Oryctolagus cuniculus: one gene and its partners. The protein of the gene in region 3 purifies or fractionates together with the protein of the main gene of each other region. This does not show direct contact. Links are inferred from orthologs where the notes say so. Each region holds a gene or a part of one and is shown on either strand. Other genes may lie near its edges.

The links. The genes of interacting proteins can lie anywhere in the genome.
Region 1: the proteins of NUP107 (region 3) and NUP37 purify together in Homo sapiens (affinity purification with mass spectrometry; 7 studies listed by BioGRID and IntAct, with this or other methods). This does not show direct contact. The link is inferred for Oryctolagus cuniculus from reciprocal best matches to the Homo sapiens genes NUP107 and NUP37.
Region 2: the proteins of NUP107 (region 3) and TPR fractionate together in Homo sapiens (co-fractionation; 4 studies listed by BioGRID and IntAct, with this or other methods). This does not show direct contact. The link is inferred for Oryctolagus cuniculus from reciprocal best matches to the Homo sapiens genes NUP107 and TPR.

What each region holds. Positions count from the first base shown.
Region 1 is NC_091442.1:105,071,891-105,075,636, forward strand, and holds the start of NUP37 (nucleoporin Nup37), read right to left. Parts: upstream 2,649-3,746; 5' UTR 2,540-2,648; intron 1,842-2,539; exon of another isoform or gene 1,703-1,841; intron 1,275-1,702; 5' UTR 1,210-1,274; coding exon 1,054-1,209; intron 1-1,053. Other genes in the region: PARPBP (PCNA-interacting partner), read left to right, coding at 3,005-3,009. UniProt on the Homo sapiens protein: Component of the Nup107-160 subcomplex of the nuclear pore complex (NPC). The Nup107-160 subcomplex is required for the assembly of a functional NPC.
Region 2 is NC_091444.1:3,555,804-3,559,549, forward strand, and holds the start of TPR (nucleoprotein TPR), read right to left. Parts: upstream 2,724-3,746; 5' UTR 2,643-2,723; coding exon 2,573-2,642; intron 2,359-2,572; exon of another isoform or gene 2,278-2,358; coding exon 1,984-2,277; intron 1,230-1,983; coding exon 1,125-1,229; intron 1-1,124.
Region 3 is NC_091442.1:71,066,155-71,069,900, reverse strand, and holds the start of NUP107 (nuclear pore complex protein Nup107), read right to left. Parts: upstream 2,371-3,746; 5' UTR 2,218-2,370; coding exon 2,210-2,217; intron 773-2,209; coding exon 681-772; intron 206-680; coding exon 119-205; intron 1-118. UniProt on the Homo sapiens protein: Plays a role in the nuclear pore complex (NPC) assembly and/or maintenance. Required for the assembly of peripheral proteins into the NPC. May anchor NUP62 to the NPC. Involved in nephrogenesis.

The DNA of each region.
Region 1 (3,746 bases), about 34 Mb from region 3:
TGTAGAGGCAGGATTGCTCCTGAGTAAAAGAGGAAATGTCTACAATAATAGACTACTACTTCAGTGACGAAGTTATCTTAAGTCTTTGAAAATTGGTCACTGCTGCATTACTTCATCTATTAATCTGAGTAACATAGTTCTATGAATAATGCTCTGGTGAACAATGAACTGACCAGAGACTCCTCAGGGTTGAACATTGTGCTTATTCAAAAGTTTGTCTTACATGCAGACTAGCTTTCCTGTGAAAGAACATGGTGTGCTCACCACAAAGCAATCTTAACTTTGGTGATATAAAGGGTCTGAGACTGAGTGTCACTGTTGCCCATATCAATGACAATGAAACATACATAGATCACAACATGCCAGATGCCTTCTGGGAATCTTATACATACATATACTTACTAATTACATCCTCATAAAACTCTCTATTAATGGAATATTATTTCTCATCTTTATAGGAGAGATTAAATACCTGCTCAAGGTTGCCAAGCTATTATGAGGTATAAAAAGCAGAAGTAAATACTTTGTTCTAGAATTCATGCTCTTGGTGGCTATGCCCAACTGCCTGTTCAGTTAATAACGATCTCATACTTTGTTTACTCCAGATGTACGTTTTAGAGGTATAAAATGTACGAAAACAAATAGGAAAGCTGAATAATAGGAAACCTGTAAAATCTCCTGGAAGATAATTTTTTAGACTTTCATTATTAGTTTGTTTCCTATGTCAAAGCAGAATGCAGAAAAACTGTAATTCATTGGATCTCAATTGCGGCTTTTGTTGTATATTATAATGTTTAGTCAGTCATGTACTTCAATTACATGAATCATTCATTACTAATCATGAGTCAAAAGAGGAGTTTCACATTCCTTTTATCACCATCTGCATTTTTACACAAATCTTAACCAAATATTGCTGGGATGTCTTTCTATGTGGATCTTTTTTTTTAAGCATTTAAACTCAATACACACTTTCAAAGTTTAGCTTTTGTTCATGTAAGTTTTCTTATCAGTGAAATATGTTCACTCTCATTCACTGCAGTTTTTCACACTAACCTGAAATGTACACGTGCCAATGACCACAAAGTTATTGCCTCCATATGCAATTAGGTTTCCTGAATCCCCACTCTCAAAGGGGTTAAATTCCACCACGTGCACATAATCTTCACAATCCACAGTGTAAGTAGCATTTCTTGTGGCATTTTGCTTCATATTGTATGTCAAAACTTGAGCAGATGTAAAAATAAAACAGCCTTCTACTGCACAACGTCACAAAACTGTGGATTACAGCACAGACACAATTAGCAATGGTCAAAGTGTTATTCAGCAAATGAATCAAAACATGGTTCTGGCATTGCAATGCTACACACAATTCAAAAGAAACATTTAAAAGTACTTCCCAAGGGGCAAAAACTGCAGGAAAAAACAGCCAATCTAATTATTAATGGCTGAACATTTGTTCCACAATCTTCTTCTTTTAACCATACTCATCAGAGATACCCACAGAATAGTAATATCATAAAATTCTGTTTATGTAAAAGATATCCTGAGTATTTGAAAATGGAATAATTTTAATAGAAAATATATTCACAAAATTGAGACTTAACATTTATAGAGTACTATTTATTAGGTGTCATGTTAAGCATTTTACTGATACTATCATAGCCAATATGTGCACATCCTCGTTTTACAGATGAAGAAACTGAAAAGTTAACTAATTTACCAAGTGGGCAGTTAACTAATTTACCAAGCTCAAAAGCAGAGCCAGGAATTGACTTTGTTGTGTTGGGTACCAGTGCTGGAGAAGGAAACCACAGCTTCCTGCCTTGAAGATCACAACTTAGGTATGGTTTTGATCCAGCGTGAAAAGTGCTACCATATAAGCAGTTAAAAGGAGCTCCAAAATGCGTAATATAAAAACAACATTTGTAAAACCAGGCACAAAATTTTACCCAACCTTCAGGGCCTAGTGTGTGCAGTTTGCAAGTAGCATTCCCACATGAGAAATATAGATTTTTAAAATATAGATTTTAAAGGTTTTCTTCTTTTCATTACACCAAACCCAAATTCAGAGTTGTCGGGCAAACTGATGAACTCAGTAACAAAAGCATACAGCATCTGATGATTATCTACTGAGAATCAGGTGAATCCTACGTCCGGGGGGCTTATGAACCTCAACGAATAGGCAGAAGGACTGCACATTTATTCTGGGTGATTAGATATCCACGCAAGAGATTAGAGGTCAGGAAACCGGGTCCCAGCACCTCACCTATTACTCATTAAAGCAATGCCTGGGGTCACTACGTCCTTAGGGCCTCCCGCACAAGGCGGACTGCTGGCCTCTCCAGACCTACAAGGAGTGAAGGGCCAAGAGAAGTCCCGACAGTGAGCCCCCGCGCCTGGCCAGCCGAGTCCCTAGAGACTCCGCTCCCACCTCCCTGAGCCCGAGATGGGAGGCAGGAATTCCCAGGAACAGGGTGGAAGCGTAGGGAAACCAGAAGCCGCAGAGCGCTGCGCCTCAGGCTCCCACAGGGATACGCACCGGAGAGCGCCGAGAAGCCACCAAAAGCAACCTGGTCTCCGCTGCAGGCAGAGGAGGCGTGCGCCGGCTCTGCTTCCGGGTCGGAGGGCGAATGCAGCGATTGGCTCCCAGGCCCTCCCGCGAGATTTAAAATGTAACCCGTGGGCACTGCGGTAGCTGCGGGACGACTGCCGGGGGGAACCTGGACTTGGTGGGTTCTGCGCCTCCCGCGTCTGCCGGTGAACCGAGCCGGGTGAGTCCTGGTTTCGTCTATGCCTGCCTGTGGCACCTGAAGTGGTGATTCAGGCTGGGGAGGGCATTTCGGCGACAGTCGAGTGCCTGTGACCGTCTAGGTGTTTTTTGGGCAGTCGCTTCGCTCTGGAGCTTAGGTGGGTCTGGGGCGTTATCTGAAGTTCACAGCACCCACATTTTGTTTATTGTGCACCTACTAAGTGCCTGGCACGAGTGGATTATGAGCCCATTTCTATGAGGTAGGAATTACCGTTCCCTTTTTACATGTGAAGATACCTAATGCCCATCAGATTTTAAATGCGAAAGGATGTGCAGCCAACACACGGGAGGGGGAGAGAGGACTGGATCTGAACACAGCTGTGACTGGAAAATAAAGTTATTTCACCATCTCACATTGCCTCCCAGCCACAACTTCCTGTCTCACAATTTGGCTCGAGTGCATCTTGGAATCTAGCTTTTTTTTTTAAAAAAAGTGTTTATTATCTCTGCTGCCTTCTATGACTGGCTTTTTTTTTTTTTTTTTTTTTTTTTTTTTTTTTTTTAATAGCTCAGCCTGCCAATCAGAGTGCTTGCTTATTCACTGCGTTCTCACAACTGGCTGAAAGCTAAGTAAAGAGGGTGGGTATTCTTTCCTGGTTTCTGTGTGATGATGATAGCTCTACCTGGACAGCCAGGTGGAAAGCTTCTCACCTCATAGGGCAGTCTCAGAGCAGCAAGACAGCACCTCCAAGACCTCCCCCCACTGGATCATTTAAGACAATTCAAAGAACTCAGCCTATAGTGATAGTCGCAGGTCTGAGTTATTGCAGCAAAGGGCTGCAAAGCAAAGTCAGCAAAAGTAAAAGGCTAATGGGGCAAGGTGGAGGGAAGACCAGGCACAGAAGACCGAAGGTCCTCTCCTTGTAGAGTCACCGGGACACGCTGAATTCTTCTGCAGCTTGTGGTGGAGTGTTGTCTGTTAGGGAAGCTTGTTAGA
Region 2 (3,746 bases), on a different chromosome or scaffold from region 3:
AAACACTGAACTTCATGAATGCATTCCTCATCTACTGTATTATACAGCAACATTTAAAATACGCTGCCCTGTCTCCAGAATGTTCTTCAATAGCATAACACTTACACTTTCCCAAAATGCTTTCAAAAATATCATCTTATGGGGGCTGGCACTGTGACATAATGGGTAAAGCCACTGCCCACACTGCTGGTATCTCATATGGGCACTGGTTCTAGTCCTGGCTGCTCCACTTCCGATCCAGTTCCCTGCTAATGTGCCTGGGAAAGCATCAGAAGATGGCCCAAGTGCTTGGAGCCCTCTACCCACGTGTGAGATTGGCTGAAGCTCCTGGCTCCATGCTTTGAACTGGCCCAGCCCTGGCCATTGAGGCCATTTGGGGAGTGAACCAGCAGATGGAAGATCTCTCTCACTGCCTCTGCCTCTCTGTAACACTGCCTTTCAAATAAATAAATCTCTGAAGAAAATATATCATCTTATTTGATATGCAAAGCTGTATTAGATGGGCCTGTGGGTCAGGCTACCTTATAAACTCCAATCACATACCTATGATCTACATATCGAAAAACTGCCCTTAAATTTTAAATTTATTTATTTGAAAAGCAGAGTGACAGAGAGGGTAAGACGAGATCTCCCATCCACCCATTCACTACCCAAATGTCAGGGGCTCCAGAGTTGGGCCAGGTCAAAGCTGGAAGCCCAGAACGCTCTGCAGGTCTCCCACATGCGTGGCAGGGACCCAAGTGTGTGGGCCATCTTCCGCTGCTTTCTCAGGCACATCAGTAGGAAGCCGGATTGGAGGGAGAGCAGCTGGGACCTGACCTGGTGTCTGCCACAGGATGCTGCCGTCACTAGTGGCAGCCTAACTCAATGCGATGCAACGCCAGCCCCAGCGAAACTGCTCTATTTAATAGCAAAGTCAAAATTAGACCCCAGGTCTCCCGACTATACATGCATACCAAGTCCTTACTGCTGAAGTGAAAAATCAAAATGCTGCTCTAAACAAAACCAGTGATGCCTAAGCAGCATTTTCACAAACAGTAAGTAAACGTTCCCAAAGCAAATAAAGCAAGTCTGAAGACGCCAAAGCTCTAACAACACGTAGAAAGATGCCACCCAATACTTACTCAGCTTCTCCAGCTCCGTCCTTAGGCTCTGGCACTCTCGGGTCTCATGCACAAGTCTCTCCTGACTGTGGGACAGCCTCTTCTCTATCTCAAAGTACTGTTGTTCTGCAGAAGAAGAGACGGCTTCAAACACCGGTCCGTGCAGCCAGTACATACGTCTAACAGCCTTGACTTTAAAGCGCAGGCTAGCAGAAACTGAATAAATATGGACTGAGAACTGACAGAGCACTTCTCTACCCTATCTCACACGACAGAGACGAAGGCCTCCAAGAAGGAAGGACCCCGAGGCGGGCTCCCCGCGCGTCCAGAGTGCCCAGCACGCAGCCGACCGGAGAGAAAACCCAGTGCAGGGAAGAACCGTTCAGACTGAAACTGCTTTGCTTAGAAAAACCTGCGGTAAGACAGTCCACGCAACGCCCGCCAAACACATCAAGTGACCACACGGAGGTGGAAGTGAAATGGCCGGAGTCCCAAGGCGAGGGGCCGGCGGCGCGCCGGGCACGCAGCCGCGGCCGGAACGCGCGGGGTCGCGAGACCAGCCGTGGGCGCGAGCCGACCCCGGGGGCGCCACTCACTCAGAGCTCCCGGGCAGCGAGCACAAAAGCCGGAGCCGACCCCTCGCAGCGCGCGGCGGCGGCAGGCACTGCCCGTCCCGGTCTCCGCTCGCGGCGGCGGCGCCCCGGCCGCTGCCCGCCCCCGCGGACCGCCGCGGACCGCCGCGGCGCCCAGCGAGCGCACCCGAGCCCCGCCGCGCCGCCGTCCACGAACCCCACTCCTCGGAGGCCGGCCGGGGTCCCGCGACCACCCCTCCCGGCACGAACGGCCGCGCCGTCCGCAAACCCGGGGCCCGAGGACTCACCGCTCTCCACCTTGAACTTCTCGTGCCGCCCCTTCAGGCCGTCGATCTCCGACTGCTGGTCGGCGAGAAACTTCTCCAGTTTGCTCTGCACGGCCTTGGGCAGCTTGTTGAGCTCCGCGCGCTCCAGGACTTGCTGCAGCACGGCCGCCATGTCGACCGCGCCGGGGGCCGCGGCGGCGGCGGCGTCCGAGGAGAAGGGCGACGACCCGCACGGCCCGGGCGCCTGGGCCGCCTCCGCCGTCTCGCTCGGCGGCTCTCGAGCGCCCGCCCGCCGGAGGGTCCCGCGGCGGCAACCTGGGAAGGCGAGTCCCGTGAGCCGCGGCCCGAAACGCCCCCAGCGCCCGCGGCCCGACTGCGGCAGCGCGCCGGTTTCCGGATCCGGGCCGCTTCCGGCCTCGCAGCCCCCGGGGAAGTGGTGTCTCGCTCTTTCCCTTCCTGCCGCAAACGCCGTCCCGTACCGCCCGTTCCGCTTCTTCCTTCCTCCTCGCCCCGGGCTCTTCTCTCAGCTGCGGAGCCCACTGTCCGCGCGGTGGCGCCACACTCGGACTCGTCAACCCACCTCCCTCCCCGCAACGCGGGGAGTCCTTACCGTCCCAGCCGCGGCTGGCCATGGGTCGTCCTCTAGGGCGGCTTCGAGACACTGAGCCACTAGAGGGCATCGGTCGGTCCCGGGCCGAGTCGGCGGGCCGGCGCCGGGCTACCGCCACGCTCTCAATGGCGTCCGCAAGGGGGCGGGGTGGCGACCGCTGTCGCTCCGGCGGAGGCGCGCGTCATCAATCTGCGCCGCCTGACCGAGACCCCCCGGGGATAGGCGTGAGTCGCTTGCTGATGAACTCAGGGGCCGTGGAGTTGGCACCTGGAAGGAGTCTGGCCGCTAGAAGCCGGTCCCGGCACGCGAGCGCACGGCCGCGGCGGAGCCAAGTCGGTCGGGCTCGAGCGCCACGCGTGCACGTTCTGCGGGAGGTCAGTCAGCCTGAGGGTGTCCGGAGAGGCGTAGGGAGCGGGCGGACTCCCGCCGGTGCTCGCTCGGGTCCGCTGCCGAGGGAGGCGCCTTGCGGGCAACCGCGGACCCGACGGCCGGGGCGGGCTGGCGGGCGGGCGCGCTGGGGCTCGGGCAGCGGGAGTAGGAACCGCTTCGGGCTGGTTGCTCTTCTGGCAGAATTTGTCGGGTTGTCTTTCTTGAGCCCGGGCGTTCCTCAGGTGCTCCCGGCGTCGCCGCGGTCCGGGCCCCCGCCTGGCTGAGTGCTCGCTCACCGGAGACGTGTGCCCCCCACCCCGCCCCCACCCCCGGGTGCTCAGAAGACGGCCTGTGGGGGTCGAGGTAGGTGAGTAAGGGGCTTCCGGATCCGACCTGGGCGCTGTGCTGAGAGCCGCCCGCGGCGGACACCAGGGTCCGGGCCCCCGCCTGGCTGAGTGAGCGCTCACCAGAGACGTGTATCCCCCCACCCCGCCCCCACACTGGGTGCTCTGAAGACGGCCTGTGGGGGTCGAGGTAGGTGAGTAAGGGGCTTCAGGATCCGACCTGGGCGCTGTGCTGAGAGCCGCCCGCGGCGGACACCAGGGTCCGGGCCCTTTGATTCCTGGATTAGGATACCGGAGTCCAGGAGGCTAACTCGTCTCGGATCCCGGCACTGAGGCCCCCAACCCATCATCCATGGGGCGGACAGAGAGCGTTGGGCCGCGGGCCTGCGACGCGCGCATCCCATATGGACACCGGTTGGAGTCCCGGCTGCTCCACTTCTGATCCGGCTCCTGGAGGAGCA
Region 3 (3,746 bases):
TTTGGAGTAAACAAACCAATATTTGAATCCTGGGTCCATTATTTACATCCTTATTATCCATATTAACTTCTTGAAGTCTCATTTTCAGTCTTGGTAAAACAGATAACAAAAATCTTACAAGGCTGTCGAAATGAGCTGGGAGTTCGAGGGATAATCTGATTTCTTGGTGTGGTATTAACAAAATTTTCATCTTGGGATGTTCGAACTATAGGAAGAGTTAAGAAAATTTTCCTTGCAAAAAAGAGATCACTAAAGTTAGAATTAACCAAATTTTTACTACACAAAATACATGAATACAGTTAAGAACAAGGTGTTTTATAGCTACCATTTAAACAAGTAATTCCTCATGCCATTTAAATTCTCGGATGTCAATATTAGGTAACTACACATTGACCGAAGTGTTCTTTGATTTCAAATAAAAAGAGAAAATTTCATCTCAGCAAAAGCTTACTAAAATATGATAGCAGTAAAACAGAACATCTTTGTTTCCAGGAAAACATAAATTTTAATCTCATTGAACTTCAGCAATATATTTATCAAGAACATTATGTGTGAAATGAACAAACCTAATTTCTACAGCATTTTATTATAGCTAATACTGCTCACAAAAAGAAAATTCTATCACACTGATTCTAAACATACCACAATCGGTAACGTGATGCTTAAAATGCAAAGGATACTTAAAACTCTCTTTTGAGCACTCTGTTTCTTGGCAGTGCGTGTCACCTCTGCCTCTCGGATCACAGGGGATGACAAGTCTCCGAAGCCACCCCTAAAACAGTATAATCAAGCTCGGGTAAATGAAATGACAATGCAGCATGCACAAAAGGTCTATCAATAAGAACGGAGCAGGAGCCCCCAGGTCAGCCCAGGGATAGGTCACTCCAGCAGCTAAGTCTTGGATCTCTGTTGTTTGCTGAGAATGCCCTCTCAGCTCCGAATCCTGCTTATTCCTCCAAACCCCACTTTAAGGTCCCCTGCACAAAAACTTGGCTGACTGTCCAGCACTATGCTATTTTCTCCTGGGAATTTGTTTTAACACTGCTTTAGATAATTGCGGCATCAAGGTAAATCTTTTCTCTCCCTGTTGGAATACGGAATTCCTGAATTGCAGGAACCATCTCCTGAAAGGATCTTCTGCAATCTCCCAAACGCAGTCCCGCCTGTCTTACACAGGAGGCTGCGGTGGGATCACACGCGGTCGACAGTCTTCTGGAACAGTCACAGCCATACATCGCCCCCCTAAAACAGGTACCGCCTTACGACCCTTCGGCTGCACAAAGCACGCACTCTTTCACGTCCGCACATTTCGGAGCCTGTTTCTTTCCCAGAGACCCACATGCGCGCGCTGGCTCACAGGTGAACACCTGCTTAGCCCTCAGCCTCACGGGGGCTGGAGACACCAGGTCCGCGAAGGTGACCTGGCTCTTCCACTTGGTAGCTTCCTAGCTTTCACCGAGTTACTTCGTCTCTTTAGCCCCAGTGTTGCCCATGATGCTACTTCTGCTCCTACGACTGCTCTTCAGATTAAACAAGCTAACAGAATATACACCGCTAGTCCAGCGGCTGTCACAGAGGAGGCACCGTGGGGATGTTCTGCGGACTAATAACACCAGCTAGAACGTTACCTTGAGAGGTCTTCCCGATGACTTCCCGAGACGGGCTGTTACCTGCTCCATTTTCCCCACAGTGCACTACAAAACGCTTATTCCTTGACTTGGCGGGGTTATCGCTGCCACTACACGACGAATTCCCCGGGGCCAAGGACCTTGAATAACTCCTCTTTCTCGCAAGACGGCTGCCACCGCGCCCAGGTCGTAAGGCGAACTCGGTACCTATCTGATGCTGGCTGAGATCTCGGTGCCGTCGCCGACCAGCTTCACCGTCTCCAGCGGATTGCTCGGCATCTCGAAAGCACGGCCACCACCTACCCCGCCCACCCGCGACACCAAAGACGCTGCGGGAAGGCACCGGACAGATCGCAGGGTCGCGGCGCGAGTTGCGGGACGACCATCCACACCCCTTCCCCAACCCACGCCGAAAGGCTTTCCTCCGTCAGGTGCCGAAATCTCCCGGTCCGGGAAAGGCGTCCAAGGACCAGCACCCTGGACCTCTTCGGCTTCCTCCCGGAATCTGGTTTCATCTATTTCGTTCCGGCAAGAGCAAGAGGGACAAGACTCCCAGCCCAGCTGTCACCCCCAAAACTCACCTGTCCATTTTTACAGCCTTCTCCACCCAGGACCTCGCCAACTCGGCCTTGGGTTAGCCACCGCGTTTCAGCCTTCCCGCTCTCCGGAAGTAAATCCTTTAACCCGGAAGTATACCCTTGCCAAGAGAGCCCTGAAAAAAAAGGGTGCGGGAGAAACATTGTTCCCATCTTGCGCATGCGCAACTTCCGTTTAAGCGAGCGCAGGCGCACGAGAGGGCGCAGAAGGCGGGGCCTGGCCAAATTTACCGTGACGCACGACCCGCTACGTTGCCTGACCGGCATTTGTGGGCGTGGTCCAGGCGCGGTAGTATCCTACTGGGAATTGTGAAATACGTTGATAGTCTGGGACAATGAGAGCTCATTTCCTGGTTTTCTCTTCGAGAAGGAACCTGGCCTTGGAATTCAGTTGTGCTGGTTCTGCCCCGCACCTCACAGGTTCCTGGGTTTCTCTGTGCGCTCACTTCTGAATTGTGTGAAACCCCACAGTTTTTGAAACTGTTTTACATAATTGCTGTTTGCCCTTTACTTGGTATTTTTTTCCTTACTAAAGAGAAAAGAACCATCTGTCTTAAGAAGTCGAAAAACAAGCATAGAAAGTGACGGTATTGTCCTCTATTTCAAAGTGCTGTTTAGGCAAATTAATAAGAATAATCATGTAGGATATTCTGGCCCTGAAAAAAATTAGTCAAGATTCTGGTTTTGCTTTTTGCAATTTGAAAGCAGTGACTGGCTGGTTGGTAACCAGATGACAATAATAATGGTAGCTACCTTAGTTCATTGATCTAATAAGCCCGGTTATGTGTTCCAACTGCTAAATAAAAATTATAGGAGGCTGTTGTGTATTTTAAATATTTATTGATGTTATTTGAAAGGCAGAGATGCAGAGAGACAGAGATCTTCCATCTTCTGGTTTCACTCTTCAAATGGCCTCGGTGGCCAGGCCTCCGGGAGGCCAAAGCCAAGAGCCAGGAGCTTCTTCTGGATCTCCCATGTGGGTGCAAGGGCCCAAGGACTTGGGCCATCTTCCATTGCTTTCCCAGGCTGTAGCAGAGAGCTGGATGGGAAGATGAGCAGCCAGGACATAAGAGATGACGACAGTGCAGGTGGAGGCTTAGCCTTCTATGCCACAGCGCCAGCCCCAGGAGGGTATTGTTCAGAATAAGCCCTAGGCCCCTCCAACAGACCAGACTCACCAAAACACAGTCCTCACACCAAAGTTAAACAGCACCAAACCAAGCCCAAGTTGTTTTCTGACCTGAGATTCAGGAGAGAAGTGACAACTGAATTTCCCACACGGGCCAATTTCTCTCTCTCTTTCCCTTCCTTCTTTTCTTTTCTTTTCTTTTCTTTTCTTTTCTTTTCTTTTCTTTTCTTTTCTTTTCTTTTCTTTCTTTTCTTTCTTTTCTTTTCTTTTCTTTTCTTTTCTTTTCTTTTCTTTTCTTTTCTTTTCTTTCTTTCTTCTCTTAGATTTATTTGTTTTATTTGAAAAGTAGAGTTACAGAGGCTGAGGTGGGGGTGGGGGGAGGTCTTCCATCTG